Elephas maximus indicus: one gene and its partners. The protein of the gene in region 3 binds, or shares a complex with, the protein of the main gene of each other region. Links are inferred from orthologs where the notes say so. Each region holds a gene or a part of one and is shown on either strand. Other genes may lie near its edges.

Region 1 (9,742 bases), on a different chromosome or scaffold from region 3:
TGTGTCCATTGGGAAGATGGGCACCAAGCCAGGAAAAGGAGAAAAGCTGGAGAGGCCGCTTTCCTTTTTAAGTTTCGTCAAGTAATTGCTCTGCTTGCTTGTAGGGTTGAGCCTACTATCTTTATTCTCTCTCCAGATGGATGGGGAGAGCTTCTTGAGGGTTGTTTCCATGTCTGGGTTATTTTTGTTTCGCCACCTGTGCCTAGCACAATGCCTCCCTCATAGAAAGCCTCCAATGGATGAATGAATGAATGAACTAAGTTAGTGGAAACAGCAAACATTGCTTTCTATTTCTGACTCTCCCCAGAGATATGTGGCTTCAGAGGCCTGGCCCTGGGAGCATCACCCAGACCTGGAACTTGACATCTTTGTTTTTCTGTGTTTAGAGATACTGTGAAGGGAGTGAGAACCCCTGCCCCCACAGCGCCAAGAAGACAGAAAATCAGGCTCTGTGCATATTTAATTTTTATTGACATTTCAGCCACTCTTACATGTACGATTCAGGGACATTCATTATGTTCTCATGCAGGCTGTGGCTTTGATGCCCTCTTTTCTTCAAAAGAGTTCCTCTTCAGCTCAGAGTCTAGAATGTCCCAGAGCTGGTTCTGGACCTCAGGGAACCAGCCATGGCCAACCAGCTGCTATGGACACGACTGATTGTTCTGTGGATGGATGGAGGGATTGAGGGTGAGCTTGGTCTTATTTTTCAAATACCCACTGGACTCGAGACTCCTTCAGCTCTCAGAGCCCACCAGAAATTGCATTTATTTCAGATGGCTTTTGTGGGCATACTTCCTCTTTCAAATGAACTCTTTGGGTGTTTGTGAGGCCTTTGTCTCCTTTCTCATATTTATCTTTGAAAAGTCAGCTGGAAAGGTCAGCACTTGCTACACAAGTGCCATTCTTCTATATTTCTGGATGGGCATCTCCTCGTAGCTTTGATTGTCTTCGGAAACAGCCTTCAACTTTTTAGGAGTAAACCGAGATGGGTGCCCCTGTGGTTCAGATGCTTGGGTCCTCAGTCACAACCCAAATGTTCCTTTGGATGGGTGCACTGAACACATACTTGAGCTGAGTGAGGGAGTTTTGCTAATTGACACGAAGGATGAATTTGAGAAGGCTACAAGGGTGAAGGTGGCTGGGTAGCTTAAATGGTTAAGTGCTTAACTACTAACCGAAGGTTTGGTGGTTCGAATCCATCCAGAGGCACTTTGGAAGACAGGCCTGGTGATCTGCTTCTGAAAGATCACAGTCTTGATGACCCCATGGAGCAGTTCTATTCTGCACACATGAGGCCACCATGATGACAACTAATAACGACACAGGGTGAACTAATATGATTGAGAAAGGCCCATAATTCTTTCCTTGGTCATACACACTGTGTAGAGCAGCTCTATTTGATAAAAATATGGTGTGAGCCATGTGTGTAATTTTTTATTTTCTAGTATCCACATTAAAAAAAAGTGAAAAGAGGTGAAATAGGCTTTTATATTTTAACCCAGTATATATAAAAAATTAGCACGTCACCATGTACTCAATATAAAAATTATTTATGAGGTATTTTACTTTCTTTTCTGTACTAAGTCTATGAAATCCAGTGTGTATTTCACATTTATATTGTTGTTGTTAGCTACCATTGAGTCAGTCCCCAACCTATGGTGACCCCATGCATAACTGAGCAAAATGCTAGCCAGTCCTGCTCTATCCCCACGATCGGCTGCAGCTCAGACTGTTGTGATCCATAAGGTTTTCGATGGCTGATTTTTGGAAGTAGATCGCCAGGCCTTTCTTCCTAGTCACCTTAATCAGGAAGCTCCAGTGAAACCTGTTCAGCATTGTAACAACACATCGTAAGCCTCCGCTGACAGACGGGGTGGCTATGCAAGAGGTGCATAGGCTGGGAACTGAACCCCAATCTTGCTCACGTCAGGTGAGAATTCTACCACTGAAATCACTCCTGCCCCCATTTTACATTGATAACACATCTCAATTCAGACTAGCTGCATTTCAAGGGCTCGATAGCCACATGTGGCTAGTGGTGCCCATATTGGACAGCACAGAACTAGACTCTCCAAGTGAAACAGGAAAGTGGTTATTCTGTACTAGATCTGCCCTCCAAATTAAGCTACCTAAACTAAATACAGATGAAAGGGCTGTGGTGGGAAGGAGTGTGTAAATGACTATCAACAGAACTTTAAAAATGCAGTTTAAAAAGTGTTCTGATAGTCTAATTAGCAAGAGGACATTTTTAAGTTTAAGTTCTATGACCCCTAACTGAAAAATTTCTGTTTATTATTTTTTTCTCATCAGAATGTTCATTTGCTCATCTTGCTTAGACCAATGAGTTCAAAAAAACAAACTTAGTGAACAGTTTCACCTCCTGTTGTGCCCTTTTATTCAGATACCCTACATTCCTATGCCATCAGGAAATGATTAATATCTATGGGTGGGTATATAAAAATAATGGAAACCCTGGTGGCATAGTGGTTAAGTGCTACGGCTGCTAACCAAAGGGTCAGCAGTTCGAATCCGCCAGGCGCTCCTTGGAAACTCTATGGGGCAGTTCTACTCTGTCCTATAGGGTCACTATGAGTCGGAATCGACTCGACGGCACTGGGGTGGGTATATAAAAATAATAGTCGACATTTATGGAGAGAGCCGCCCGAAGTAGGTTCTATTATTATCGCCACTTTTCAGATGAGGAAGCTAAGACCTTACAGTTGCTAAGTAAGCTTACCCGGGATAACCCAGCCGATGAGTGGTGGACTCAGGCAGGCAGATTCCAGAGCTCACACTCCTAGCCCTACACAGCCCTCCTTCACAAAACTAATGTAAAATTTTACATTCTCCAAAATTGTTCAAGGCTTTTTTCACCTTTCAACATGTCCACTAAGCCCTCTTGCTTTTCAGAATTCTGGTAAAAACATGTTTTTGTGGGAGAGGTCCGTACATTTTAAGGCCTATTTGGGAAACTGGCAGATGGAAACTGCCTTATGGGAGAGAGATCTTGATCTACAAGATGAAAACCAAAGTTAAAGATCCCAGGGTGGTACACACGGTTAAGCACTCAGCTACTAACTGAAAGGTTGGCTGTTTGAACCCACCCAGATGTGCCTTGGAGGACAGACCTGGCAATCTGCTCTCAAAAAGGTCACAAACTTAAAAACCCTGTGGAGCAGTTCTGCTGTGCACACACGGGTTGCCATGAATCAGAATCAATATGACGGCAACCAGCAACCACATCTATCCTAGAGAAACACAGTAAAATATACACAAAGAGATCTGTTAAAAAAAAAAAAAGTTAAAAATAATAACTCTTACAGGTCTTAGAACTGATAAAAGATGAATTCACAATTCTGTTTATTTAAAAGTCATACCTGCATTGACAGTTAAAATGACATTCCCTTGGGTAACAAAAAGCAAGGATATCCTACTTCTAAAAAAAAATCCTACCGTTGTTAATTCATGATTCTTTTCAATTCAATCATGAAATGTAACTTAAATGTTTAAGCTCTGGGTTAAACATTTTTTCAAAATGAAGGCGGATCTGGTCTGCCATTTTCAAGTGTGCCGGGTAGTTAGGAATTATGTTGGTTTCTGCAGCTGGGCCTTAACAGAACCAACTATATGCACATGCTCAGAGTATATACTTGCCATGTAGATTTTGTTTTTCTTTACTTTTTCCATTCAATTGGAAGTCCAGTTCAGGGCAGACTCTACACCTCCTGCCTTTATACAGCTGGATAGATTAAAATATGCTGTTTTTTAATCCAAATTGTTGTGGTTTCAATCCGAATCAAAGAGATTGGTGGGAGTTATAACTGTTAATTCAAACTCACTGAGAAGACTGAACTTCTTACATCAGAGTATATAGTACTGGTTTTTAATGATGTCAAGGCCCATTCCAGGCAAAGTATAAACTTTTGAACTAAGCCCTTGGCAAATTAATAAGGAAGAGATTTTTCAAACTTGAATTTGAGAAGACAACTTTTTCAGACTGTAATCTCTTCTAAGATGCTGTACAAAAAGTCACAAATGCATCCGTGTAATTTTACTATTAACTAGTAAGAAAAAACAAAAACCAAATTGTTGCCGTCAAGTAGATTTTGACTCATATCGACCCTATAAGACAGAGTAGAACTGCCCCCCAGGGTTTCCAAGGAGCGGCTGGTGGATTCGAACTAAGGACCTTTTGGTTAGTAGCATAACTCTTAACCACAGGGCCACCAGGGCTCCAGTCAGAAAGAAGGAAGTTAAAATATTTCAAGTCTATTACAAACATACTGATTCAGCCATTTCTATTCATCTGTAACTCTAATAGTGTATGGAACTGAACTCTGAAAGTTCTGGAAGGTTTATTTTAATTTTTAATTCACTGCTTTGAGAGGAGCCCTGAGAAAGGAAGTGAGAGGGCACAGCTTTAAAGAACCGGCAATTTGGCATCTCCTCAGCCCCCTTGTCGCCCCTCCCCCACTATTTTAGCTACTTGACCTGATTAAACAGCTTTGGGACTGTAGCCAGACTTCTGTATGCTAACGAGGCCCCTGCCCTATTCACGATTTAGTGCGATTTCATCCACCCGGAGCTTCCAGGCTGCCCAGTCTGAGCCTGACTTCTCAGAAGTCTCCCAGTTTTGTCAGAGGCTCGCCAGTGAGGAGTTCACACCAACTTGAAGCAGACAGGGACTCTCTGAACGCCTCAGGCCACACCGGATTATTCATTAGCAAATTCTTTTCGCCTTCTATCTAAATAGGAAAGGTGACGCCTGAATCGCCTGTGCCACTCCCGGAAAGGGACTCTAGGTCTACAACACCCAATCTACAGTCTACAACTCGTCTTCAAGTTACTTGCTTTCCAGGCAGCAGAAGGCGTTTCCAAAAGTTTCCCTAAACCTCCCTTACCCCTAAGCCTAAAGGTCACAGCGCCAGGTCCTCCTCAACTCTCCAACCGGCTGGAATGTGATCATTTCAGAAGTTTCTGGTGTAGGGGGAGAACAGAAAGGGTGGTAGTGGGGAACCGCGCAGTGTGACCACCGCGCGTTATGTAACGGAAGCCCTGGCTGCAGGAGTGAGCAAGCCTGACATTGAAACATTCCAGGGGGAGGGGAGTTGCTGTCCGGGAGTCGCCAGGAACAGCAGAGGCAGTTGTAAGACACTGAGAGAGGAAGGTGGCCGAGCTAAAGAAACCATTTTGGGTATTGGAATATTAAAAAACCGCAGGTCTCAGAGTATTAGCAAACGGCAAGACACGTGTAGTAATTTGACAAAACGGGAGCCTTCCAACTTTTGCACGGGAACGAGTAGATTTGCCCTTTGGGGGATTAAAATTAGCCAAGCCAAAAGCTAATGGATGAGGTTCAGTAGTTTGTTCGCAGTATTTAAATAGTTATGCTCAGGAGCGCAAACTCTCCGCAGTTATTTAGAAAAGCGGCGACTTAATCCAAACTACAATACTCTACCGAGTGCGTCTCGACTTTCCCCAATCCGAAAAGGAGTTGCTCGCGCGGTACTGCCCCTTTAAGACCTGCTCGCTCTCCGGCTCTACAAAAGGGAGTGACCTCTGGGCTTTGACAGCTCCCCTAATAACTACCACCGCGCAGGCCCCGCCCACCTGGCGGCCAGCCGCGCCGATTGGCCGGCGGGCCGGTATCCCGTGCTCTGATTGGCCTGCCGCTTCCCCTGAGCGAACCTTTAGAACTCTGAGACAGACAATATTCTGTTACATTGTAGCAAAATGGCGACTGTCATTCACAACCCCCTGAAAGCGTAAGTAAGACCAAAAAATGTACATATTCCGCGTGGTTTCAGTATGAAAAAAAAGGCGCCTTCTCCGTGCGGAGCGCTGCCAACGCACTGCGCTTGCAGGCGCCTCCAGCCGCGGCAGGGCTTCTCTCTTTTCTTTCCGCTCTGACTTCTTCATCTTTTTTTTTTTTTTCCCCTACGCGTAGAAATGTCAGGAGATGCAATTAACAAGAAGAAAACTGTTACATTTGTGTTTTGCTTAATTGGTGGACAGAGCGAGAGGGGGGTGATCGGTAGGGGAGCCAAGCGCCCGCGCGCTCGACAGCTAGGGGGATTGTGGGCAGCGAGGGGACGGCAGGTACCCCGGGTCCCCTACTGAGCGGGGCGGCAAGTGCGTAGCTGGGGGAGGCCGAGCTGGGGGCGCGAGCCGGGCAGTGGCCGCCTCGGTGCACTTGGCTGCGCCCCACGCCTCCGGAGCCGGCGGCCCCCGCCTGGCTGCTCCGTCCCCTCGGGCCAGCGGACCGCGGCGGCTCCGGAGTTTGCAGGGCGCTCTCTGCCTTCCGATCGCTCGCGGGGAGTTTGTGCAAACCTTCCGGAGTTGGGAGGACCGCGGGGGAAGCCGCAGGTCCCGGGAGCTCTGGGGCCCAGGTGGCTGCCTGGGGCTTTCCTGCGGGGCCGCCCCCGGAGCATGACGGCGCTCCGGGCAGTCGCGGGCGCGTTTGCGTATGTGTTTGTGGGCGAACTGGCTGTAGTAAATTAATGACTCGGGTTGACTTGGGGTTGATTCGGAGGCCGGGAAGCTGCAGGTCTTAGGAATGGTGTTCTCATCTCCTCTGGGTGAAAAGGCGAGGCGGGCGGAGAGGCGGCTCCGGGCTCCCCGCCCCAGCAGGCAGCGTTTACTCCCGGCCAGAGCGAGGGGCAGGTGCCTCTGGCCGCCGCCGAGAGACTTTGTGCAGACGCCCAGATCCGGGACGGAGGGGGCGGGCTGGGCAAGGGCACGCGGGGGCCAGTCCCCGGGTTCGACAGTTAATTCCTGCCTGCCTTCCTTCCTCCCCCTCTTCATCCTGGCTTCCTTCCTTCCTTCCAGTCGGTCGAACTGTTAAGCCGCCAAGTCCGCTTGCGATCATCGAGCCGGGGGTGGCCTCGAGAACTAGCGTCGCTCTTAAAAGGGTGCTGTTGGAGGCTCCCTCGGGTTCCTAGCGCGACGTGGGTTCGGGGTCCGTGCGCATTTGATCAGGACTTCGGCGCCCGGCTGGAACCCGCCAGCGAGGGGAGGGGGGGTGCGAGTGGGGGCGCTTCGTGTTCAATTCTCTCTTGTGCGCGGCCGAAGCGGACCCCGGTTCTTTCAACTCCGCGCATCAGCGTCCGCTCCCCCCGCCCCCCCCCGGGGCTCCTCACGGAGTTAAAAGCCAGGTTCCTACCGGGGGGGTCATAGGGGGGCTCCTAAAGCGAAGAAACGCTCGGGGAGAATCGGTCGTGTTTGCACCAGCTTATCTCCCACTAGCAATAAGGAAAAGGGGTAGGAATGTCCCATGTCTAGGAGTTTAAAATATATATATTGAGTGCGGCCGTTAAGAGGACTTTGGAAGCTGAAGCTGATCCGAGAGGACCTCTCGGCCTCGGTTCTTGCACGGAAGCTTGGATATACGGCTCTTGAACGTTACAGCGTTTCACCCAAGAAAGAAAATGTTTTATGGCAGAATAAATGCGCGTAACTTCGCCGCATCCACGCTCCTCGCCTGCGCGGCTACGCAGCTGATGCTGGGAGTTTCTACCAAATCCACAGCAGATTTGCAGTTTTCCCATTTCCAGCTGAACTCACATAGCGGGGCTGATACCACCTGGTAAACTCAAGTTAGAGAAATCTGTTTCACATGTGCACCGTGTTGGTTTCCTATTGGAAAAGCGGTGCTCTTGTTACCCCGGAGCCCGCTTGCTTACGCGCGGGCGCAATATTTCCCGGTTCCGCGGTTCCCCCTGCTTGCTCTAGTTTTTTTTTTTTTTGACCACTGGATGGTGTGTGTTTTGAGGGGGGGGTGTCTGTGTTGGGGTAACGTTAGGGGTGGAAAAAGGGACGGAGAGGCGGGAAGAGGGTAGCCGAATTCCGGCTGATCAATGGAATTAGTTCTGAATTATTATACTCGTACTTTGTGTAATTAGAAACAGTTGCAATGTGATGTATTTGTAATTCTGTGTCTCGACACACGCGCACATTCTCGCATACACACAACACCCCTGCCTGCTTTTTCTAGGTGGGAGTTGCATCCCAACCCCTTTCCCTGGGGGTGAGGGAGTGTAAACAATGCCGGGACCAGTCTAGCCTCCTGCACCCTGGACGCTTTTTAAACTCCTAACGCCAAGAGCACACACGCTATCATTGGGAGACCGACACCATCTGCCTGTATTTTTTTCAAAAGCAACTTGTTTAATAAAACATCTTATATATTTCATTTGTTTTTAAAAGTTGCTGATCAGGAAATAATACACACGTGAATCAATTATGCATGGGATAAATTAGAACAAAGCGTAGAGCCCGAGCCACATCAATCGGAGGGGATGGATTGCAGTGCTGGGAGGAGGGGGAGCGGGGAGAATGGTTTGGAGAGCTCTGTTTTTATCCTCACGTGTCCCTCCTGACAATGAAACGGAGCTGAACGACATTAGCATTTTCTCTGTGCGTTGTGAGTCTGTCTCCCCCTCCCTTAAAAAAAAAAAAAGCCAACATCACCGACGCCCCCTACAGAAGCTGGTTACACAAAGGTTTCCTCTGGGATTGGAGGATAAAGTGGTGGTTGGTAAATGTGCTGGGAAGAAACAAGCTCAGGTTTCATGCAACACCTCTGTAGGGCTCTTTTTACCCTGAGTATGGGCCATTTTTTCATTATACTAGCTTTGTGCATGTGGGACATTCAATAATTCAATGGCTGGGGTAACTGGATGACACTGTTTGGGTCTCCTTGCTTTGGGGTCTTCCTTAGGGCCCTAATGTCCTGAAGCCACATCTCCTGTTTTAGCAGTTTGGCTTTCTTCCTGCCTGTCTTTGATCGCCCTTCAACTCCTTTTTTTATTCTTCCTTGTTGTACCCGTCTTCACCTTCCCCTCTGAAGCTGACAGCCTACCTTCTCCCTCTGTTGTTGCCTTTAACATCTTATTACAGCGCAACAGGGTGTTAGAGGCAGAAACTGGAGCTGCCTAGGCTGATAAGATCACAAAGGGGACTCCGCAGGTGGCCCCACAACTGAGCAGTCACATCTGGACAAATAGAATTTAAAAAATTGATGGGCATGTGTGATGTGTAAATGTATATTACACATTATTTAATTTAGCAGCTACATTGTCTAATCCTAGATGTGTGAGACCCTTATTTCCTACACACATATGCATGATAAGGGCTGTGTAGTGAAGCAAACACATGCAGGTAACATAAATAAGGATTTGATATAGCACTTTGTGTCAATCACATCGTATATTCGTATTCTCACTGCCTTCTCCATTAAGGAGCCTTAATGCTTTTTAATATAAATTCTAATCTTATTTAATATTCCAGTTCAGATAAATCAGCTTTCAGCACTTTAAGCAACTTACTCTTTTATTAAGTTATCAAAACCCTGGTTTGTATGCACTTAACTGGGAATGTCTGCCACCTTCTGCCAGACTTGATTATGCATGTATGTATCTATTATTGTAACTGCCTGCTTAGAAAAAGAATAACGGTTATTATTATTTAATTATTCTATATAGACCAAAAGGGCTTTACCCCAGATAACTATTTATTTATAGAGAATAACACCAGTAAACGAATTTGGCATGCTTTTAACTGTGACTATACATATACATAATTGTATTTTGAACTCGCTTTCCTAAACATTTAACCTTGCTTGGAGGTATGTGTTCTTATCCCTGTTTTGTAATCAAGGACACAACTCTGGGAGAAATAAATATACTTACTTAAAAGTATAAAAAAGTATAGCTAAGGTTAAACAGGGTCCTGTGTGTAGATG
Region 2 (9,471 bases), on a different chromosome or scaffold from region 3:
TGATGCTGACTCATAGCAACCCTACAGGACAGAGTAGAACTGCTCCATAGGGTTTCCAAGGAGCACCTGGTGGATTTGAGCGGCCAACCTTTAGGTTAGCAGCCGAGCTCTTAACCACTGTGGCACTACAGTTCCCCAGAAACCCGTGTTGTAACAAGCCCTCCTGGTAATTCCGGTGCATACTCCGACGTTCGAGGAATGGTGTTCTACCTGTTCATTCTCTGTTTTCTGCAGCATAGATTAAAAACCAAAACCAAAGCCGTTGCTGTTATGTCAATTCTGATTCTTAGCAGCCCTGTAGGACAGAGTAGAACTGTCCCATAGGGTTTCCAAGGAGCAACTGGTGGATTTGAACTGCAGGCGTTTTGGTTAGCAGCACTATATCAGACAATGTTCAGCGGCTATTCATGGTTTTAACTGGCCAGTTCTTTCAGAAGTAGACTGCCGGGTCCTTCTTCCTAGTCTGTCTCAGTCTACAAGCTCCACTGAAACCTGTCCACCAACGGTGGCCCTGCTGGTACCTGAAACACCAGTGGCATAGCTTCCAGCATCACAGCAACACAGTCACCAGAGTACGACAAACTGACAGACAGGTGGTGGTCATAGAAAGACTTGGGAGTTTGCTAAGGATGGACTCCAGCATCGGCCTTCAGGGACACTGAACCCACAGGACAGGGGTGGGCCGGGTGAGTGGGTGGGCAGGGGGATATTTTCACGGTAGGCCCGAGGGGATGTGGACACAGGAAGTCAGCAAACCCCCCTCAGAGGACCTAGGCTTCAGGTGTTGGCTTTTGAGTCACACCTGGTCTGAATGTCAGCGTTCCCTGCCCTGTGGGTGCCGGCTTTCGGTGAGAACTTTGTCCATCTGGGCCTAAGTTGCTTCGTCTGCAATACGGAGGTGCTGATTCCTGCTTCCTCTGGGTGGTTTGTATGAGTCAGTGATGCAAACCTTGCAAACAGCTCAGTGTAGGAAGAGCTAAATAAATTGGACCTTACTCACTGTTGTTGCCGTTGTCCGGGTATTGTGAGCCCCACCGCCCAGCCTTCGCCCTTCTGGACCTCCCCATTCCCATCTGGGCAGGAGGCGTCTGAAGGCTATGGCTGAACATCCGAAGGGGAGCTTGGGGGGGCTGTATTCTCTGAGTCTGTGTGGGGAGAAGCGAGATGCGGTGGGTGTTAGCAACACTGCCCCTCTCTGAGGTTCCAGCTGGGCCCCAAGGAGTCTGGAGCAGAGGGTCTCCCAGTGATTCTGGGTCCACAGGGAGGTTAGACCGTGGTGACCAGGTTCCGGGCAGGGTCTGAGGCCCAATGTGGGGCTTAGTGTCTCCACCGGGGACCGACCCCAAGCCTGCCATGTCTCTCAGGCTCTCAGGATTCCAGTCTGAGAATTCTGGAGCAGCCTCTGGGGCACAAAGACTAGAGCCACAGTGCCCTCTGGTGGCCACATCCTTGGTCTCAGGGTTTGGGAGAAGGCCCAAAGACTGGGACTTCCAGGATCAGCGTTGGCCTCCAAGGCTGAGTAACAAGATTAGGGATCAGGACCCGAAGAGGTCGGGACAGGAACCCTGCCCTGTGAGGTCAGAGATTTAGAATGCTAAAGGATTCACAAACAGTTCAGCCGTCCCCTCCTCTAGGAAGCCCTCCGTGACCCCCAGGTTAGGTCAGGTGCCTTCTCTGGACTCCCACATCCCCTTTTATTTCCCCCACGCCAGGCCTGATCCCTCTGCCTGTGCCTCCCTCATCCCAACCCTGACCCCTCTGGGCTGTTGTTGTCTGCTGATGGGTCTGTTGCCCCACTAGATTGTGACCTCAGGACAGAACCTGGGGTTGTCTCCATCAGGGGGTGTCCCTAGCATGATCACACAGGGCTGTGGTCCATAAACCAAAAAAAAAAAAAAAAACCAGCCAGTTGTCAGGTCTGTTCTGACCATGGCAACCCTAGAGCCCTGGTGGCACAGTGGTTAAGTGATATGGCTGCTAACCAAAAGGTCGGCAGTTCAAATCCACCAGTCCTCTAGGATCGCTATGGCTGTGGATCTGTGGTCCATAGCACTCCAGAAATTAGTGAGTGTGCTTAACCTTCCCCTTTGAGCTTCAGCTCCAGGCCCTCTGCTGGGCAGGATTCCTTGATAGAGTTCCCCTGCTTCCGTTGTCCAGGTCTCCATGCATGGGAGCGCACAGCCTGGGTCACCTTGCTCTCACCCCTCACCAGTTGCACGCCTCAGGGCTGGACACTGGGCATAATGAGTAATTGGTTTCATTTATTTATTCAACAAATACTAAAGAAAACAACAACAACAACCAGTTGCAGTCAAGTCGATTCTAACTCGTAGCAACCGCACTTGTGTCAGGGCAGAACTGTGCTCCACAGGGTTTTCAGCGACTGTGATCTTTCAGGAGTGGACGGCTGGGCCTTTCTTCTCAGTGCCTCTGGGTAGATTCGAACCATCAAACTTTTTTCTTCTTTTCTTTACTGTGTTTTAGATGAAGGTTTACAGAGCAAATTAGTTTCTCATTAAAGAGTTAATGGACGTATTATTTTGTGCATTGGTTGCCAGCCCCGAGATATGTCAACACTCTCTCCTTCTCGACTTTAGGTTCCCCATTTCCATTTGTCCAGCTTTCCCGTCCCCTCCTGCCTTCTCGTCCTTGCCCCTGGGCTGGTGTGCCCACTTAGTCTTGTGTACATGGTTGAGCTCTGTGTATTATCGTTTGTTTTATGGGCGTCTCTAATCTTTGGCTGAAGGGTGAACCTCAGGAGTGACTTCAGTGCTGAGTTAAAAGAGTGTCTGGGAGCCGTACTCTTGGGGTTTTTCCAGTCTCTTTCGGACCAGTAAGTCTGGCCTTTTTTTGTGAGTTAGAATTTTGGTCTACATTTTTCTCCGGCTCTGACCCTCTATTGTGATCCCTGTCAGAGCAGTTGGTGGTTTTAGCTGGGTACTCTCTGGTGCTGGACTCGGGCTGGTGGAGGCTGTGCTAGCTGTGGTCCATTAGTCCTTTGGAGTAATCTTTCCCTTGTGTCTTAGGTTTTTTTCATCCTCTCTTGCTCCAGACGGGGTGGGACAAGTTAGAACCACCAAACTTTGCAGTTAGTAGCCCAGTGCTTAACCGTTTGTACCACCGAGGGACCCCATTTAAAAAACAGCACCTACTATCCGTCAGGCCCTGTTCTAGTCAATGTGGAGACAGCAGTGGATGGGACAACATCCCCACCCTCACACAGCTGATATTCTAATAAATGAAGACAGACAATAAACCAAGTAACCAAATAGATACAGGACATGATGATGGGCTATGATAAGTGCTTGGAAGAAAAGTAAAGTAGCTAAAGGGGCAGAGCTGTAGGGGATGCAATGTTAGCTGGTGTAGCCTTTGAGGAGGTGATATTTAAGTAGAGACCTGAATGAAGTGAGTGATGGAGCTATGCAGGTACCTGGGGAAGGAGCTTTCTAGGCAATGCAAAGGCCTTGTGGCTGAAGCAGGCCTGGACTATTCCAGGAACAGGGAGGAGGCCAGTGTGGCCAGAGCAAAGTTAGTCAAGGGAAGAAGGAGGGAAATGAGGTCAGAAATGTGATGGAGGTTCGGGGGGATTGAGAAGGCCCTTGAGGGCACCGTGAGGACACTGCATTTTATTCTAATTGTGAAAGAGGCCGTTGGAGGTTTTGAGCTGGAGAGTGGCGTGCTGTGATGTGTGTTTTAGGTAGCCTGCTTTGGCTGCCATGGGAAGAACAGACCGGGAGCAGGGCCAGAAACCGACGATGGAGCCGCTGTGATAGTACAGGCGGAAGACAATGTGGAAAGGACCAGGATGGGGGTTAGGAAGTGGAGAGGGGTGGGTGGACTCTGGATCCATTTTATGAACATAGAGATGACAGGATTTGCTGATGGACTTCCAAAAGAGAAAAGTCCGGATGATGGATTGCACTTAGAGCAAAATCCATTCTCTGTATAATGGCCTACGAGGCCCTACATGATCTGGGTCCTTTCTCTCTCCCCAACCTTGTCTACCCCTTCGCTCACTCTGCTTCAGCCACACTAGCCTTGCTGATCTTAGAATGTGCCAACCTTGCTCCCACTTCAGGGTCTTTGCATTTGATGGTCCCCTGCGCCTGGGCATGTTGTGGTCCGTTAGTCCTCTGGGCTGATCTTTTCCTTGTGTCTTTGGCTTTCTTCATTCTCTCTTGCTCCAGATGGGGTAGGACCAGTTCGAACCACCAAACTGCAGTCAGTAGCCAAGTGCTCAACCGTTTGTGCCACCGAGGGACCCCATTTAAAAAAATAGCACCTACTATTTGTCAGGCCCTGCTCTAGGCACTGGGGAGGCAGTAGCAGATGGAATAACATAGAGGTGACATTCTAATGAAGAAAACCAACCAAAACAAACCCATTGGCGTCGAGTCAATTTCAACTCATAGCAACCCTACAGGAGAGAGAACTGCCCCTTAGGGTTTCCAAGGAGCACCTGGTGGATTTGAACTGCCGACTTTTTGGTTAGCAGCCATAGGTCTTAACCACTGTGCCAGTAGGGTTTCCTTCTAATGAACAGAGGCAGACAACAAACCAAGTAACCAAACAGATGTATGATATGATGACAGGCTATGATAAGTGCTTGGAAGAAAAGTAAAGTAGTTAAAAGGGACAGAGTTATAGGGGATGCTATTTTCAGCCGGGGGGGCTTGCACCTTCTCAGGTTTCAGCTCAAATGCCACCTCCTCACAGAGGCCACCTTCTGCTCAAATCAACCTGTTTTGTTTATAGCACTCTCTCTCTCTCAAATGATCTTATCTATTTCTTTTCTTGTTTATTATCTGTCTTTCTTCAGTAGAATGTCAGCTGCTTGAGGGCAGCGACTTTGTCCGCTTTGGTCACTGCTGTATCCCCAGCGCATACAAGAGTCTGACATCACTGAATGAACGAACGAAGACATCAACTAACCCCTGTGCTTGACGACAGCTGGCTTACACAGAAGAGGCACCTGGACCAGCAGATACAGACAAAAATACACGACAGACTCGGGTCACCCACAGACTTGGGGAGGCCCAGAAGTGGAGGACCACCTGCGCCAGCGCCCGAGATGCCTGGAGGATGGGGAGCGCGAGTCGGGGATGGAGCATCCCCAGGGAGGGGGACTGAGCCTCTGGGGGGCGAGCCCCGCCCCGCCCTGTATCCCCAGCAGCCAATGGGCGCGCAGTCCTCCCGGCGCCCCCTGGGACGTGTAGTCCGGGCACGGGCGCCCTCGGGCGCCGTTGCGCGCCCCTGGACTCCACGTCCCGTCGTGCGCCTGGAGGCGCGGGGATTGGCCGAGCCCCGCCCCCGTCCCGCCCCGCTCGGCTCGCGCCGCAGCCCCAAGAATGAATGAAATCGTAGCGCGCTGGGCGGCGGAGCCGGCGGCGCAGGCCGGGCTGGGCCCGCGCGCGGCGGGAGCGGCGCCCCGGGCCGGAGGCGGCCCCGCCGAGCGGGCCATGGCCACCGCCATTCAGAACCCGCTCAAGTCGTGAGTCCCCGCAGCCACCCCCGCCCCCGCCCGGAACCCTCCCAGGAGCTCTTCCCCCACCCTCGCTGGGGAGGGGTCGCAGCGCGCAGACCGCGGTTCGAGGCCCCCCCAGCACGTCCCCTGCCCCTGGGGGCCCGGCGCCCCCTGTCGCCCCCTGAGTTACGGGCGGGAGCCCCTTCGGGGCCGCGGGGGCGCCTCTTCTTTGTCGCTGTCAGTGAAGGAATGTGGCGCGGGCTGGGGGCGGGGGGCGGAGGCCGAGTTTCCCCACCCAGGGAGTTAGGGGCTTCCCCCTCCTCCACCATCTGTCTGGGGCCCCCCGGCTTGGGTCCCGACCTCGGTCTCCGGGGTCTCCACCGTTCTCTTTCCCCTCATCAAGGCGCCTTTCTCTCTTTCCTCCCTCCTTCTCCCGGGTCCCGGGCTCAAGCGGCTGCAGGGTGGGGGCTGAGGCTTCGGGGGTCCCCGGTTAGATCCCCGCTGCATCCCCCTTTTCCTCTCCGGGTCTTAGGCCTGGCCCAGGACCAAGAAGCCCCGACACTAAGGTCAGCTTAGACCGGAGGATCCCTTCCCCTCCTCGCCCATACACATCTAAAGGGAGCCTCCGGAGGGGGTGCTGGGAGCGCCCTCGCCCTCCGGGGATCCCTTCCCTTCCTCCCTGCCCGCGTCACTGCTTGCAGCGTTAGGTTTCTCCTGTGCCCAACGCCGTGGAGCCGGACGCCTGGGTCCGCGCCTAGCTCCCTCTCGTCCCTACCCCTCCTTGCCATTGCTCGCTCTCTCCGCCTCTCCTCTTCCCTCTTCGGGATCCCGGACTCCCGGGTCCCGGCATTCCCCCCTACCCGCGCCCCTTCCCCAGGCGGTGACAGCGGGCTCGGAGTGACAGGCGCGGCCGCTCCCGTCCTCCCTCTCTGGCAGGCGGGCGCAGCACTCCCCTCCCCCTCCTCGGCCTGGGAGGAGGCGGGGGGCGAGCTCCCGCGGCGCCGCACAAAGGGGCCGGGACGACCTCCCCCACCCTTCCCCCAACCCCGCGCTCGCCTCCTTGACCTTGAGCAATGAGTGCAGTGGGCGGGGGCGGGGCGGGGGGCGGGAGGAGAGGAGAGGGAGTGACCCCGAGAAGGGTGGCGCGTGGTGGCTGGATCAAAGGGCTCCCAGTCGCTTCTGGCAGGGGGAAGTTGGGAGTGGAGGGTGCGTAGGGGGTGGGAGCTTATAGGCACAAGCCGTCAAGTGTGGCTTGGTGAGGGCCAAGAGGGCTTGAAGGGGGTGTATGGGGCCGGGGTCAGTGTGCTATGGTGTGTGCTTCCTTTCCACCCACACCTGCACACACAGGCAGATGCCTCTCCTACGAGGGACACCCTTACACTAGTTGGGAACAGGGTTCCCGTGCCTGGTGGTGGATTACAGGCATCCTGGCTTCTGCGGGTGCCTGGTGGCCAGAGTGTGTGAGGCGGGCGTGCCAGCATCCCTCTCCGCTCTCCCCTTCCCAGGGGTCTGCACGGGTGAGGGTAGGGACTCTCTCCTGAAACAATATGAGAGTCAAATCTCCTTGGGAGCAGGGGGCTGGAGAGCGAAGCCCTCGGGAGTTCAAACCCCAGCTTGAGCCATTAATGCCCTCCCCGCCTCCAGCCTCAGTTTTACCATCCGTGAATTGGGGCGCATAATAGTTCTTTTGGAGCCCTGGTGGCGCAGTGGTTAAGTGTTTGGCTGCCGACCAAAAGTTGGCAGTTTGAATTCACCAGCCACTCCTTGGAAAACCTGTGGGACAGTTCTACTCTGACCTATAGAGTCATTATGAGTTGGAATCCACTCAAAGGCAACCGGTTTTTTCTTTTTGGTTTTATAGTTCTTTTTAACTCATGGGGCTGCTGTGAGGCTTAAATAAGGTGGTATTTATGAGCACTCAGTATAGCACCTGACCCCAGCTAAGTGTATGATTATTAGGGGTGATATCAATACTGGTTTCTATTGCGTCCAGCTCCCATACAGGACACAGAGGGTTGGGGAGGGGAGGACTGTTTTTGGACAGGGGAGGGACTGTGGTGTTCAAGTGTGTAGGAGAGCACGTGGGAGGGGTCTTTGGAGGTGACTTAGGGTATGGAAGGGGAGACGTCTTTCCAAGTGGCAGCCTGGCTCTGTAGGTTCAGATCCTGTTGGTGCACCTCTGGAGAGGTGATGGGTGTCTACGTGCGCAGGCTCCCCTGACTCAAACTGATGCAAGGTTTCTCATGTGAGGTGAGGGTGAGCTGGGTGTCTGAGATTGGAGGTGTGGGGGAGCCAGCGTGAGAGGGCATGCTGGTGATCTGTGCAGGGGGTGAGAGGTGAGAGAGGAAGGTGGTGGCAAGGGCTCCCTCTGAGGGGGCAGGGCTCACTGTGGAGAAGGTATCTGGGGTAGCCACTAGAGGGGCCTGGAGGCCTGAGTGAGTGTGGAGGTGGGGTGCCAGCATCTCTCACTTACTTCCCTTGTCACCTACTCTGGGTTAGGTGTGGAGCAGAGACCCCAATTGGGGTTATGTGGGAGGGAGGAGCAGTTTGTGGAAAGGATCTAAGAGGAGAGGTGCAGGGGTGTGTGTGGAGAAGTGATGGTGGGAGGGGGCATCAGGTTACAAAAGAGGCGAAGGCTAGAGTGCCTCCCCCTGTCTGCAGGAGTGCCCCCTGGGGGATGAGTGTGTTCGTGGGCATGTAGGACCACCACTTTTTCATCCCTGCAGCGGCTCCCTGGACACAAACTCTGAACCAGGCGGGCAGTGGGTGTGCGTTTGAGCGTGTGTGTGTGTGTGTGTGTGTGTAGAGGCTTGGCACGTGTGTGTGACCAGGTGGGTCAGTTCACTTTCTGGGAGTTCCTCAGGGTGGAATCTCTGTGAGTGACAGTGGGAGGCAGAAGGGTGTAAGGCCCACGTGAGGATGGGTGTCTGGATGAATGCACCGTTTTCTCAGTCCCACCTTCAAACAGCCACCAGGGACTGAGGGTTGTGTTATTACAGGTTTGTAACTTCTCTCATTTGGAAGATGGGGACATTAATAGTATGGCCCCAGAAGGTTGTTATGAGGTCAAATGAGTTAACCTCTGTAAAACACTTAGGACTGTGTCTAGTGTTACAGTCGCTGCTCAGGAAATGTGTTCTTTCAACAAATATTTACTGAGCATCTACTCTGCCTGGCAGTATTCTTTCTAATAATGATTAGTTTTTGCCAGTTTATATCTTAGCACATATCAGATCCTCCGTGAAATGGGTGCATTTATCGAGCACTTACTACATGCCTAACCAAAAAACCAACCAGCTGCCACTGGTCAATTCTGACTCACGGCAACCCCATGTGTGTCTGAGTAGAGTTGTGCTCCCTAGGTTCTTTCATGGCTGATTTTCAGAAGTAGATTGCCAAGCCTTTCTTCCGAGGCACCTCTGGGTGGACTGAAACCACCAACCTGTTGGTTAGCAGCCGAGCACATAAACCATATGCACACTCAGGGCCTCTGCTACCTTTTACAACACTTTGCCTGTATTTACTTATTTTCCCCCATGTTTATTCATTTAATCCTCACATCCGGCCAAGGAGGCATCACTCTCATTTTACAGATAAAGAAACTGAGGCTCAGAAAATTTAAGTCATTCGCAAGGTCATGTGGCCAACAAGTGGCAGAGCCAGGATTTGAACCCAGGAGGTGCGGCTGCCGTCCAGCCTGTGGAAGGGGCTGCGTGGGGTGGGGTGGGTGAGTGTGGTTGGGGTGAGAGACAATCCCGAGTGGGGTGGGATAGGGATCCTTGGAGCTAGAAGGGACGGGGGGGGCAGTGTCACGTGTGTGACAGCGGCCGTACGCAGGCTGGGGGAAGTCTGTGTGGGCACCTGTAAGGTGCCCCTAAGTCTCTTGGTATGATATCTGTGTGTGAGCATAAATGTACGTGAGTGCAGCTGTGTGAGTCCGTGCGAAGGTGTGTAGGCGGGAGTGTATGAGTGTGTGAGCCTATGTGTGAATGCATGTGCAAACT
Region 3 (10,234 bases):
TCCCATCAAAATTATAGTAAAGGAGCAATTTTAAAAGACATAAACCCTCAAATGGCCAACAAGCACATGAAAAGATGTCCAACATTATTCGCCATTAAGGAAATGCAAACCAAAACTACAAGGAGATACCACTCACACTAGGATGGTGATGATAATAATTTTAAAAACAACATGGAAAATAACAATTGTTGGCAAGGATGAGGAGAAATTAGAATGCTCTTACATTGCTGGTAGAAATGTAACATGGTGCACCTACTATGGAAAAGTTAGGTGGCTCCTCAAAAAGCTAAACATAGAATTGCCCTATGACCCAGCAATTCCACTCCTAGGCCTATACCCAAAAGAACTGAAAACACAAATCCTTGTACATCAATTTTCATTGAAGCAGTATTCACAATAGCCAAAATATGGAAACCCAAATGTTCATTAATGGATTAATGGATAAGTAAATTGTGGTAAATACATGCAGTGGAATATTATTCAGCCATAAAAAGGAATGAAGTACTGATTCGTGCCACACCATGGATGATTTTGAAAACATTATGCTAAGTGAAGTAAGTCAGACACGAAAGATCACATATTACATGATCCATTTATATGAAATATCCAGAATGAGCAAGTCCATAGGGGCAGAAAACAGATTGGTGGTTACCAGGGCTGAGGGGAGGGAGAAATGTGGTGTCATTGCTTACGGGAAGCTCAGTTTCTGTTAAAGGTGATGAAAAAAACTTGGAAACAAATAGCGGTGATGGTTGCATAACATAATTAATGTCATTAAATTGTACATGAAAAAATGTTGAAATGGCAAAAGTTTTGTTATATATGTTTTTAGCACAGTAAAAAAAAAAAGTGACACACAGGAAATAAAGAGCTCTTGGAAATGAAAACTACAAGAGCAGAGATGAAAAACTGAATAGATGGGTTGGAAGTAAAGTTTAGGGAAACTTCTGCAAATTAGAGCAAAAAGATAAAGAGATGGAAAATAGAAGACAAAAGATTAAAAATAATAATAATGGGACCAGTTTAGGGGGCAAAAAATCCAAGTAACAGGATTCCCAAAAGAGAGAACAGAGGAAATTGAAAGAAATGTACCGTCAAATAGGTAATTTTTAGATTTTTCACTGAACTGAAAGACATGGTTTCCAGATTGAAGGGACATACTGAATGCCTAGAGCAATGACGAAAATAGACCCATATCAATACATATCACTGTGAAATTATAGACTATTGAGGACAAAGTGAAGATTCTATAAACTTTCAGAAAGAAAACAGTATCACATCACAGGATCAAGAATCAATGGCTTCAGCTTTCTCAATGGTAGCAACATATGCTGAAAGATAATGGAAAGTTGTCGTTAAGATTCTGAAGAAAAATTATTTCCAACCTGGAGTTTTATACCTAACCAAGCTATTAATCCAAGGTCAGACATGCAAGGTATCAAAAAAAATTTACTTCCCATGATCTTTCTAAAAAAGCTACTGGAGGTTGTGCTCCATAAAAACAAGGGAGTAAATCAAGAGAAAAAATCATGGGATACAGAAAATGGACCTCTACTACAGGAAAGAAGAAAAAGAATTCCTCAAAATGATGGTGAAGAAAGATGCCAGGATGACACCTATGTCCCATGTGTAAAGGGTTACTAGTCCAAAGTGGAGCAGGTCAATGGGCTCCTGGAGAGATGTCTTCCAGATGATGAAATTGATAGACTACCTAATGGAATTAATGTCTTGAGAGGAGTTACAGATTACTGATGAATAATTTAGGGACATGTTATTAATAAGTAGATTAAAAACTAAGGAAAATAAAAACCAAGACAATTTTCAGTTCTAGAAAAAACAAAAAGTTTTTCAGGAAAGGAAAAATAATCATGGTTTATTGCCTGTCCCAATCCTTATTACCATACATTGTAATAAAGTGTAAACACTGAATATTGACCTTAAAAAAAAAAACTAAAATACAACTATATATAAAGGTGGGGAATGAGAAATGTGTGTGGTGTGGGTTGGGGAAGGAAAGAGAAGTAAATACTAATTTCCTGTAGTGGGAAGCTCATAGATAATGTCTAAAACTAAAAAAAAAATATTCACAAGCAGCAATTTAACCATGATATTTAGAGATATGAAAGGAAATACCAAAAGACTTAGCTAAATGAGATAAAAGCTATGCCCGTTGGAAAAGCAGAAATGGAAGGAACTACAGTTTTCTTCTTAACATACTTTATGAAGCAAACTGACTCTTTATGAGCATACATAAGGTTGACAAAAATATTAAGTTAATGTTGGCCCAGGACAGGAACCATTCCCAAAGCCAACTCTTCAGACAGGGATCAGACTGGACAAAGGGTTGGAGAGGGATGCTGGTGAGGAGTGAGCTTCTTGGATCAGATGGGCACTTGAGATTATGTTGGCATTTCCTGCCTGGAGGGGAGATGAGAGGGTAGAGGGTTTTAGAAGCTGGTGAAATGGTCGCAAAAAAGAGAGTGGAGGGACGGAGCTGGCTGTCTCCTTAGGGCGAGAGCAATTGGGAGTACGTAAAAAAATAGCAAGGTGTATATAAGTTTTTGTGTGAGAGACTGAGTTGATTTGTAAACTTTCAATTAAAACACAATCAAAATTAAAAAAAATTAAGTTAAAAGTTCAAAAAAGGACTTTTGGTGGGGAAAGGGCCGCAGATAAGGCTGGTTGGGGGAAGGGCAAGTGGATAGAGCACGGGATGAGGAGAAATGAAGACTAAGGCAGTAAGGAAGAAAAATGGTTGAAGATCTATGGGGTTGGAAGGAAAGCCTAAAAAGGGAGGAGGTGGCTTGATTGATGGGGGCAACTTGAGGTGACAGCTGAATGGCGGAAAGGAAGCGCCTGGGTCTCAGGGCCCGACTAGGAGCTGGACGAGGCACTTACCGGCGCCTCGGACATGAGCACTGGGTGCAGATTTGGCTCAGACTTGACGTGTTTGCTGTAGGTGTGATCCAGGATGGCACGGAAGCACTCCCAGTCCTCGACTGGGGCCAGGAGAACAGCGTGGAGAGACAGTGGAGGGCAAGCAGCGGTCAGAGGACCGGAAGGAAAGAGGAGGGAAGGAAGCCAAGTCCAGGGGAAGGGAAGTGGGACCAGTTCCGGCAGAAAAGCCTCTTTCCCAGGAATCTGGCAGCCCCTGGTTTGGGAACCAGGCAGCTGTGGGAAACAGTGAGGGGTCACTGGGACTTGGGCAGCTGTAAGGAGTACTCCGTGGGTGTGGGTGCTGTGTCCCGGGCCGTGGGGAGTGAGCTCCGGGTCTGTGTTGGGAGGCAGTGGGTGGGGCCCCTTACTCATGCCGTTCTTGAGGGGCGACATGACCTCCGCTCCATCCCGAGGCACGTGCAGGGCGTTGGTGTCTATGTGGAAGATCTTCCCTTTCTTCTCTTTCTCCCCCTCCAGCTCCAGCCCGCCCCCCTCCTCCGCGGCCAGCAGCCCCACCGTGGTGGGGAAGTCAGCCTGAGGGGGGAGGATGGGCAGGGAGAAGGATCACCCTGTTGCCCTGGTCCTGCCCCACTGCAAGGCCCTCAGCCCGCCAGAGGTTTACGCCCACATTTCCCTCTGCAGAGCTTCTCTGCGAGTCTGTGAGAGCCCTAGGTCACTGTAAAGCCTGGAGGGGAGTCCGGAGCCCCTAGGATTTGGGAAGGGAGCTGGAAGACTCACCTTGGGGCAGTCCTCCCCAGCGTACCCAGCGCGGACTGAGAAGGAGCCAATGTCAAAGACCAGCGCCCCCACCTCATCTGTGCGAGGAGACAGGCTTGTGAGGGGGCCTCCTCCAAACTCTCTTGCCTGGACACCTCCGAGAGGAGGTCAGGGCAGAGCCACAGTCTCGCCACCTTCATCCCGCGCAGGGGCAGGTGGGAGCTCAGCCTGGAATCCAGGGTGCTGAGAGTGGGAGTCAAGCCAGCCAGAATCCCGTCTTGCTGAGTGGCCTTCTTCAGGCCACTGTCTTTGGCGGGGAAGGAAGGGGCTGGGGTCCCTGAAGAGGTGGGTTGAATGGTAGAGAGTTTGGCCCGGAGAGCGAGAGGCGTCCGGGAAGGACTAAAGGCAGGGGTGGCATGGGACCCAAGCCCTGGGCTGGGCCCTCTCGAGCGTCGAGTTGACAGGCCCCAGGGTGCCTGGAGCTTGGGTCGCGCAGGTTCGGGCCTCAGGGCTGCGGGCGAGGCCGCGCCGGACTGGAAAGCCCCAAGCCCGAGACTCGCTCACCTCCGCCGTAGACGCCCCCGCTCATAGTGCCCTCTCAGCAGCTCGCGGCCCGTGGGCGGCGGCGGGATCAGCACCGAGGCGTCCGGACAGCTCCCGGGATCCCGGGCGGGGGCGGGGCGTGAGGCGGCCAATCGGAGGGCCAGATCCCCCGCCCCCAACGGCGCCGCCGATTGGCTGCTAAGCAAGACAATAACCCCGCCGGGGGCCGCTGCTTTAAAGGGGCAGACTCCTCAACATCTGGCTGAGGGGAGGAGGTAGGGGAACAGCGAGGGTGCAGAGACCGACCATAAGAGATAGGCCCACACAGTAGTAAAGAGATGGACACCCCGCCCATTCGGAGACCAGCACTCCGGTGGGTGACTGGTGGGGCCCCTGCTCCTTTATTTGTTTAAAGGGGACAGGGGAAGAGGGCGCCATAGTCCTGGAGAGTCGTCCACCGTCTTGCTCCAGAGCTCTGGTCCGCAAAGCCCAGGCCTGAGAGAAATCGAGGGAGAGGGAGGGGAGGGAAGAAGAAGGGAAAGAGGTACGGGGGCGGGGGGGGGGGTGGTGCGTGTCTTCGTCCTTTCCCAGTGTCTTTCCACCCCTGTCTTTCTGATGGCTTTCTCTTTTTCTCCCCTGTTCTCTGATGCCTGGGCCTCACACATGCACATGTGTACACACACATACACATGCGTACACACGCATACACGTGTGCATACACACACATACCCACTCACACATAGGACCTCAGCTAATCCAGCCTTAGCTTCCTTTCCCAAGGCTTCTCTCTTCAGCCCGTTGTTCTGCTCTGGAGGCATTTATTAAGCAAGTTGGTTTTCTACTGGGAGGTTTCTAGCCTCTTCTGGGCTCCTGGCATGACACCACCTCCACAGTGATTTTAATAGTGAAGGGAAGGAGCAGTGCTGACAGCCTGGGTTAGCCAGAGACTCTTGTATGATCATTTGTGTGTAGCTGTGTGCTTGTATGTCCATGTTTATGTGTGTTGGTATATGTGTGCACGTGCATACGTGTGTGTATGTGTGTACTTATGTGCATGCGTATACATGTGCATTGAGGGCCTTTCCATCTGCTTGTTGGCGGGGGGAACGTTAAGACCGGAGATGACAGAGAGAGGGAATTGTGTGACTGCCACAATGCCCCTGAAGTTTCTGCTCACCAGACACCCACTCTGGAAGAGGTCTTACCTTTCCCCACCAGAAGGACATTTGATCTCAGCTGGCTTAGTGGCTCCCTACTGGTAACAGTGACATCTTATGTGCCCTGGATTGGTTGCAGGCCCAGGTCTGGATCACCAGGCTTGGAGGGGTCCAGTCTGCAGTGGGAAGGGTCAGATGTAGGGGAGAAGGCACTGACCCAGGAGCTGGGAGATTGAGACTCTCCTGAGTGACCCTGGCCAATCATTGGCCTCTCTATAAATTGAGGCCTGTATGAATTGAATGAGCCCCTAAACCTCTTAGAGCCTGCATTTCTTCATCTTTCAAAGTGTTGAAGTGAGGAGTAAAGAACACCAAAGAATTTGATTCATGGCCTGCATGGCCTGTTGACAATGGTGTTGCTTCACCTCCCATGTGAGTTCACCTTTTCAATTCCCCTGCACCACGCCCACCCCCAGATTCAGAAATTGCCCCAATTGGGAGAAATTTTAGTGATCATTGATCCAATCTGTGGATTTTACAGGGGTTTCTTCAGATAGTGGCAGGGCCTTGTCTTGGTCCCACAGCTCACTGGGCGCAGAGCCAGGACTAGAATCTAGATCCTCTTATCAGCCAGTTGAGAGAAGACCTTGTTTCATAACAACTCTGTGTTCCTCTTCAAGCTTCATTGTCCTCCATTGTAGAACACCTGGTGGTGAGGACTCAATGTGATACCATAGTCAAGTGTCTGGCTAAGAGTAGGGCGACAGGACTACTCCATAAAGACTGGGTCTTCAGAATGTCCCTGGGGAGATTTTGAGGCTTTAATATTATAACGCATAAGTTAGAAGTCTTTAGACTCTCTGGTAATGAGAAGAGAATTTTATTCTCAAGGCTGGTGAAAAAGCTACAGTCTTCTAAGTATAGGACTGAATTGGTTTATGTCCCTGTCAACTGTAGCCAGTTTTCATTTGTCATGGGATCTGACATGAGATTCTACTCTATTATGGAGGTGTTTAAGGTGAAGGTAGTTAGTGTATTTAATTTGTTCATTCATTGATTCAACAAACATTTTTTTATGCTGACTGTGTTCCAGGGAACATGCTAGGTGTGAGAATACTGAGGTACATAAGATAGATTCTTGCTCTCAGAGAGTCTTGGTGCAATGGGGAGCTCAGACATGAATGAAAATGAGGTGCAACAGAGGCCTAGAGGATGGAGGGACTGTCTCTGAGAGTCCAGAAAGGCTTCTAGAAGTGAAGTTTGAAGTGAATCATGAACTATGCAGGTAATGGCATGTGCAAAAGTGCTGAGACATGAATATTTCTGACATAAGGGTTTATGTGGGAATAGTTAGGAGCTCAGTTTAGAAGGAGGGTTGGATATGAGTTGGTGGGAGAAAGTAGCATCAGTGGGGAATGAGATTGGAAAAGTAATCAGAGGTCAGCTCCTTTATTTAGCAAATTCAAAGCATCTACTATGTGCCAGGCACTGTTATAAACACTTTACAAACAATAAGTCATTTAATCCTCATAACGTGATTATTATCCCCATTTTGCAGATGGGGAAACAGAGGTATGGAGAGGTTAAGTGACTTGACCAAGGTTATGGTTGTTGTTAGGTGCCATCTAGTTGATTTCAACTCATAACAACCCTACGTACAACAGAACAAAACACTGCCTGGTCCTGTGCCACCTCACAATCATTGCTATGTTTGAGCCCATTGTTGCAGCCACTGTGTCAATCCATCTCACTGAGGGCTGGCTGAGTTATCTTGGGCTGCTCTAACTAAATACCACAAGTGGATGGCTTTAACAAACATAATTTTATTCTCTCAAAGTCCAGGAGTCTACAAGTTTGAGTTAAGGTGCCAGCTCCAGGAGAAGGCTTTCTTTGGAGCAAGGTTCTTTCTCACGAGGAAAAGTCCTTGTCATCAATTTTCCTCTGGTCTAGAAGCTTCTCGGCACAGGAATCCCAGGTCCAAAGGACACATTCTGCTCTGGGGCTGCTTTCTTGGTATATGAGCCCCCTGTCTCTCTGCTCACTCCTCTTATATCTCAAAAGAGATTGACTTAAGACACAATCTAATCTTTTAAATTGAGTCTTGCCTCATTAAAGTAACTGTTGCTAATCCCATTTCATTAACATCATAAAGGTAGGATTTAAAACACCTAGGAAAATCACATCAGATGACAAAGTGGTAGACAATCACACAATACTGGGAATCATGGCCTAGTCAAGTTGACACACATTTTGGGGGAACACAATTCAATCCATGATGAGAGTCTTCCTCTTTTTCATTGACCCTCTGCTATACCAAGCATGATGTCCTTCTCCAAGGACTGGTCCTTCCTCATAACATGTTCAAAGTATGTGAGACAAAGTCTTGCCACTCTTGCTTCTAAGGAGCATTCTGGTTGTACTTCTTCCAAGACAGATGTGTTTGTTCTTCTTGCAGTTCATGGTGTATTCAATATTCTTTGACAACAGCACAATTCGAAGGTGTCAATTCTTGTTTGGTCTTCCTTATTCATTGTCCAGCTTTCAGATGCATATAAGGTAATTGAAAATACCATGGCTTGGGTCAGGTGCATCTTATTGCTCAAAGTGACATCCTTACTTTTCCACACTTTAAAGAGGTCTTTTGCAGCAGAGTTGCCCAATGCAATGCATCTTTTGATTTCTTGACTGCTGCTTCCATGGGTGTTGATTGTAGATCCAAGTAAAATGAAATCCTTGACAACTTCAATCTTTTCTCTGTTTATCATGATATTGCTTATTAGTCCAGTTGTGAGGGTTTTTGTTTTCTTTATGTTGAGATGCAATCCATACTGAAGGGTGTAGTCTTTGATCTTCTTCAGTAAGTGCTTCAAGTTCTCTTTGCTTTCTGCAAGCAAGGTTGTGTCATCTGCATATTGCAGGTTGTTAATGCTGTTTTTCTCCACTTCTGATGCAGCATTCTTCTTCATATAGTTCAGCTTCTCGGATTACTTTCTCAGCATACAGATCGAATAAGATAAATGCTTTGCAAATAATAAGACATTTAATCCTAATAACGGCCTAATTATTATACCCATTTTCAGCTGGGGAAACAGAAGTGTAGCGAGGTTAAGTGACTTGCCTAAGGTTACCCATCTGGTAAGTGCCAGAGCTGGGATTTGAACCAAAGCATGTGAAAAATGCTTACCCTGGGGCAAATGTTGTCATGCTTTTATTCATTCCATAAATGTTCCCTATGTAATGATAACCCGTTAACCAAACCCGTTGCCATCAAGTCAGTTCCAACTCATAGCAACCCTATAGGACAGAGTAGAACTGCCCCATAGTTTCCAAGGAGTGCCTGGTGGATCCAAACTGCCGACCTTTTGGTTAGCAGCCATAGCTCTCAACCACTATGCCACCAGGGTTTCCTATGTACCCGATAAAAAAAATAGGCACTGGGAATAAAATGGCTCATAAAACTTGATCCATAGAGTTTATTGTTTATCCAGGAAGATGGATGATGAAACAATTAATTCAATAAAGTCAGCTGGAGATTCTCACATTTCATGCCCGCATTCAGACTGGCTGAACCTGAGCCCCTGGTAATGATTCCAAGGTGGCAGGAACAGGCCCTCTGATCCTACAGCTTAGAAATGAGTTGGCATCTTGTGGGGACCTGACCATTGCTTGTCGAACTCTCACCCAGCCATCTGCCAGGTAAACCAAGTTCCTTGGCTTCTCAGGGAGCCCCTGGCCTAGTGCAGGTGGCAAATGCCCAGGAATAAATAAAGGCTGCAATAGGAATGAAGCCAGCATTGCAGAGGGGCACCAATAACAGTGAAGTTAAGGAGTGCTTCACAGAAGAGGCAATATTTAAAAGAAGCCTGGGGAAATGACCTGAATTTTTCCAGCTGATAAGGAAGTGGTGTTGGAGTGGGGGTGGAAGGCATTCTGAATAGGGGGAACAAGACCAAGTCTGTGTGTCCCATAAAGAGGCTTTGGCCTTCTACTACACGGTTTTGAATGGGAAAGTTATATGACCCAATTTGCATTTTAGAAATATATCTCTGGCAACAATTTGGAAGGTTGATCAGAAAGAAACAGGCAAAAACCAAGGTATGTGGCATGCGCAGAAATGATGGATTTAATACTTAAGAGGTAGCATTGACAGGATTTATTCTCCAAGGAAAGACTGCTAGCCTTACTCTAATACCTCTGTCCTTCTTTCTTTATTAATGTTTTAGCTAGGTACATGGCTAGATATTACATTTTCCAGCCTTTCTTGCATCTGGCCAACTTCTGAGTAAAAGTTAGTGGTGTTCTTAAACAAAAAGGACTTGTACTTCCTACCTCAACTCCCTTCTCAATGGATGAGATTCAGATATAATGGTGGGAGCTGCTAGAGCCACTTTGGACCCTGAGATGGAAGCTTATGTTAAGGATGACAGAGATGCCTCCACAGTCCTGGAGTGTCTGTCTACTTTGGAGTTGTTGCTTAAGCCACTATATTTTTGAGTCTCTTTTTTATAGCGGAAATCCTGGTGGTTAAGAGTTAAGGCTGCTCACCAAAAGGCTGGCAGTTCAAATCCGCCAGGCACTGCTTGGGAACCCTATGGGGCAATTCTACTCTGTCCTATAGGTGGCTGTGAGTCGGAATTGACTCGACAGCAATGGGTTTGTTTTTTTGTTGTTGTTGTGGATGTTGTAGCTCCTTAGACTGGACTCTAACTAGTTCACTATCCATTGGGAAGCTCCTGGGTGCATGGCGGTGTTAACTGGGTCAAGAGAAGAACAGGGTGGGGAAGAGTGAGGTGGGTGGAAAATGATCAATTTCGTTTTGAATATGTCGAGTGTGAGATATCTGTGAGCAGTGAGGTGTAGTAAATGTTTTAACAACGATC

The links. Proteins that work in one complex are often made in the same cells at the same time.
Region 1: ACTL6B (region 3) and DPF3 share a complex: the UniProt entries of both Homo sapiens proteins name them as parts of the BAF complex. The link is inferred for Elephas maximus indicus from reciprocal best matches to the Homo sapiens genes ACTL6B and DPF3.
Region 2: ACTL6B (region 3) and DPF1 share a complex: the UniProt entries of both Homo sapiens proteins name them as parts of the neuron-specific chromatin remodeling complex. The link is inferred for Elephas maximus indicus from reciprocal best matches to the Homo sapiens genes ACTL6B and DPF1.

The regions. Positions count from the first base shown.
Region 1 is NC_064828.1:85,703,008-85,712,749, reverse strand, and holds the start of DPF3 (zinc finger protein DPF3), read left to right. Parts: upstream 1-5,733; coding exon 5,734-5,765; intron 5,766-9,742. Other genes in the region: non-histone chromosomal protein HMG-17-like, read left to right, coding at 4,518-4,673. UniProt on the Homo sapiens protein: Belongs to the neuron-specific chromatin remodeling complex (nBAF complex).
Region 2 is NC_064829.1:113,378,228-113,387,698, forward strand, and holds the start of DPF1 (zinc finger protein neuro-d4), read left to right. Parts: upstream 1-5,462; coding exon 5,463-5,494; intron 5,495-9,471. UniProt on the Homo sapiens protein: May have an important role in developing neurons by participating in regulation of cell survival, possibly as a neurospecific transcription factor. Belongs to the neuron-specific chromatin remodeling complex (nBAF complex).
Region 3 is NC_064830.1:92,064,380-92,074,613, forward strand, and holds the start of ACTL6B (actin-like protein 6B), read right to left. Parts: upstream 4,301-10,234; 5' UTR 4,244-4,300; coding exon 4,219-4,243; intron 3,753-4,218; coding exon 3,676-3,752; intron 3,472-3,675; coding exon 3,306-3,471; intron 3,000-3,305; coding exon 2,899-2,999; intron 1-2,898. UniProt on the Homo sapiens protein: Involved in transcriptional activation and repression of select genes by chromatin remodeling (alteration of DNA-nucleosome topology).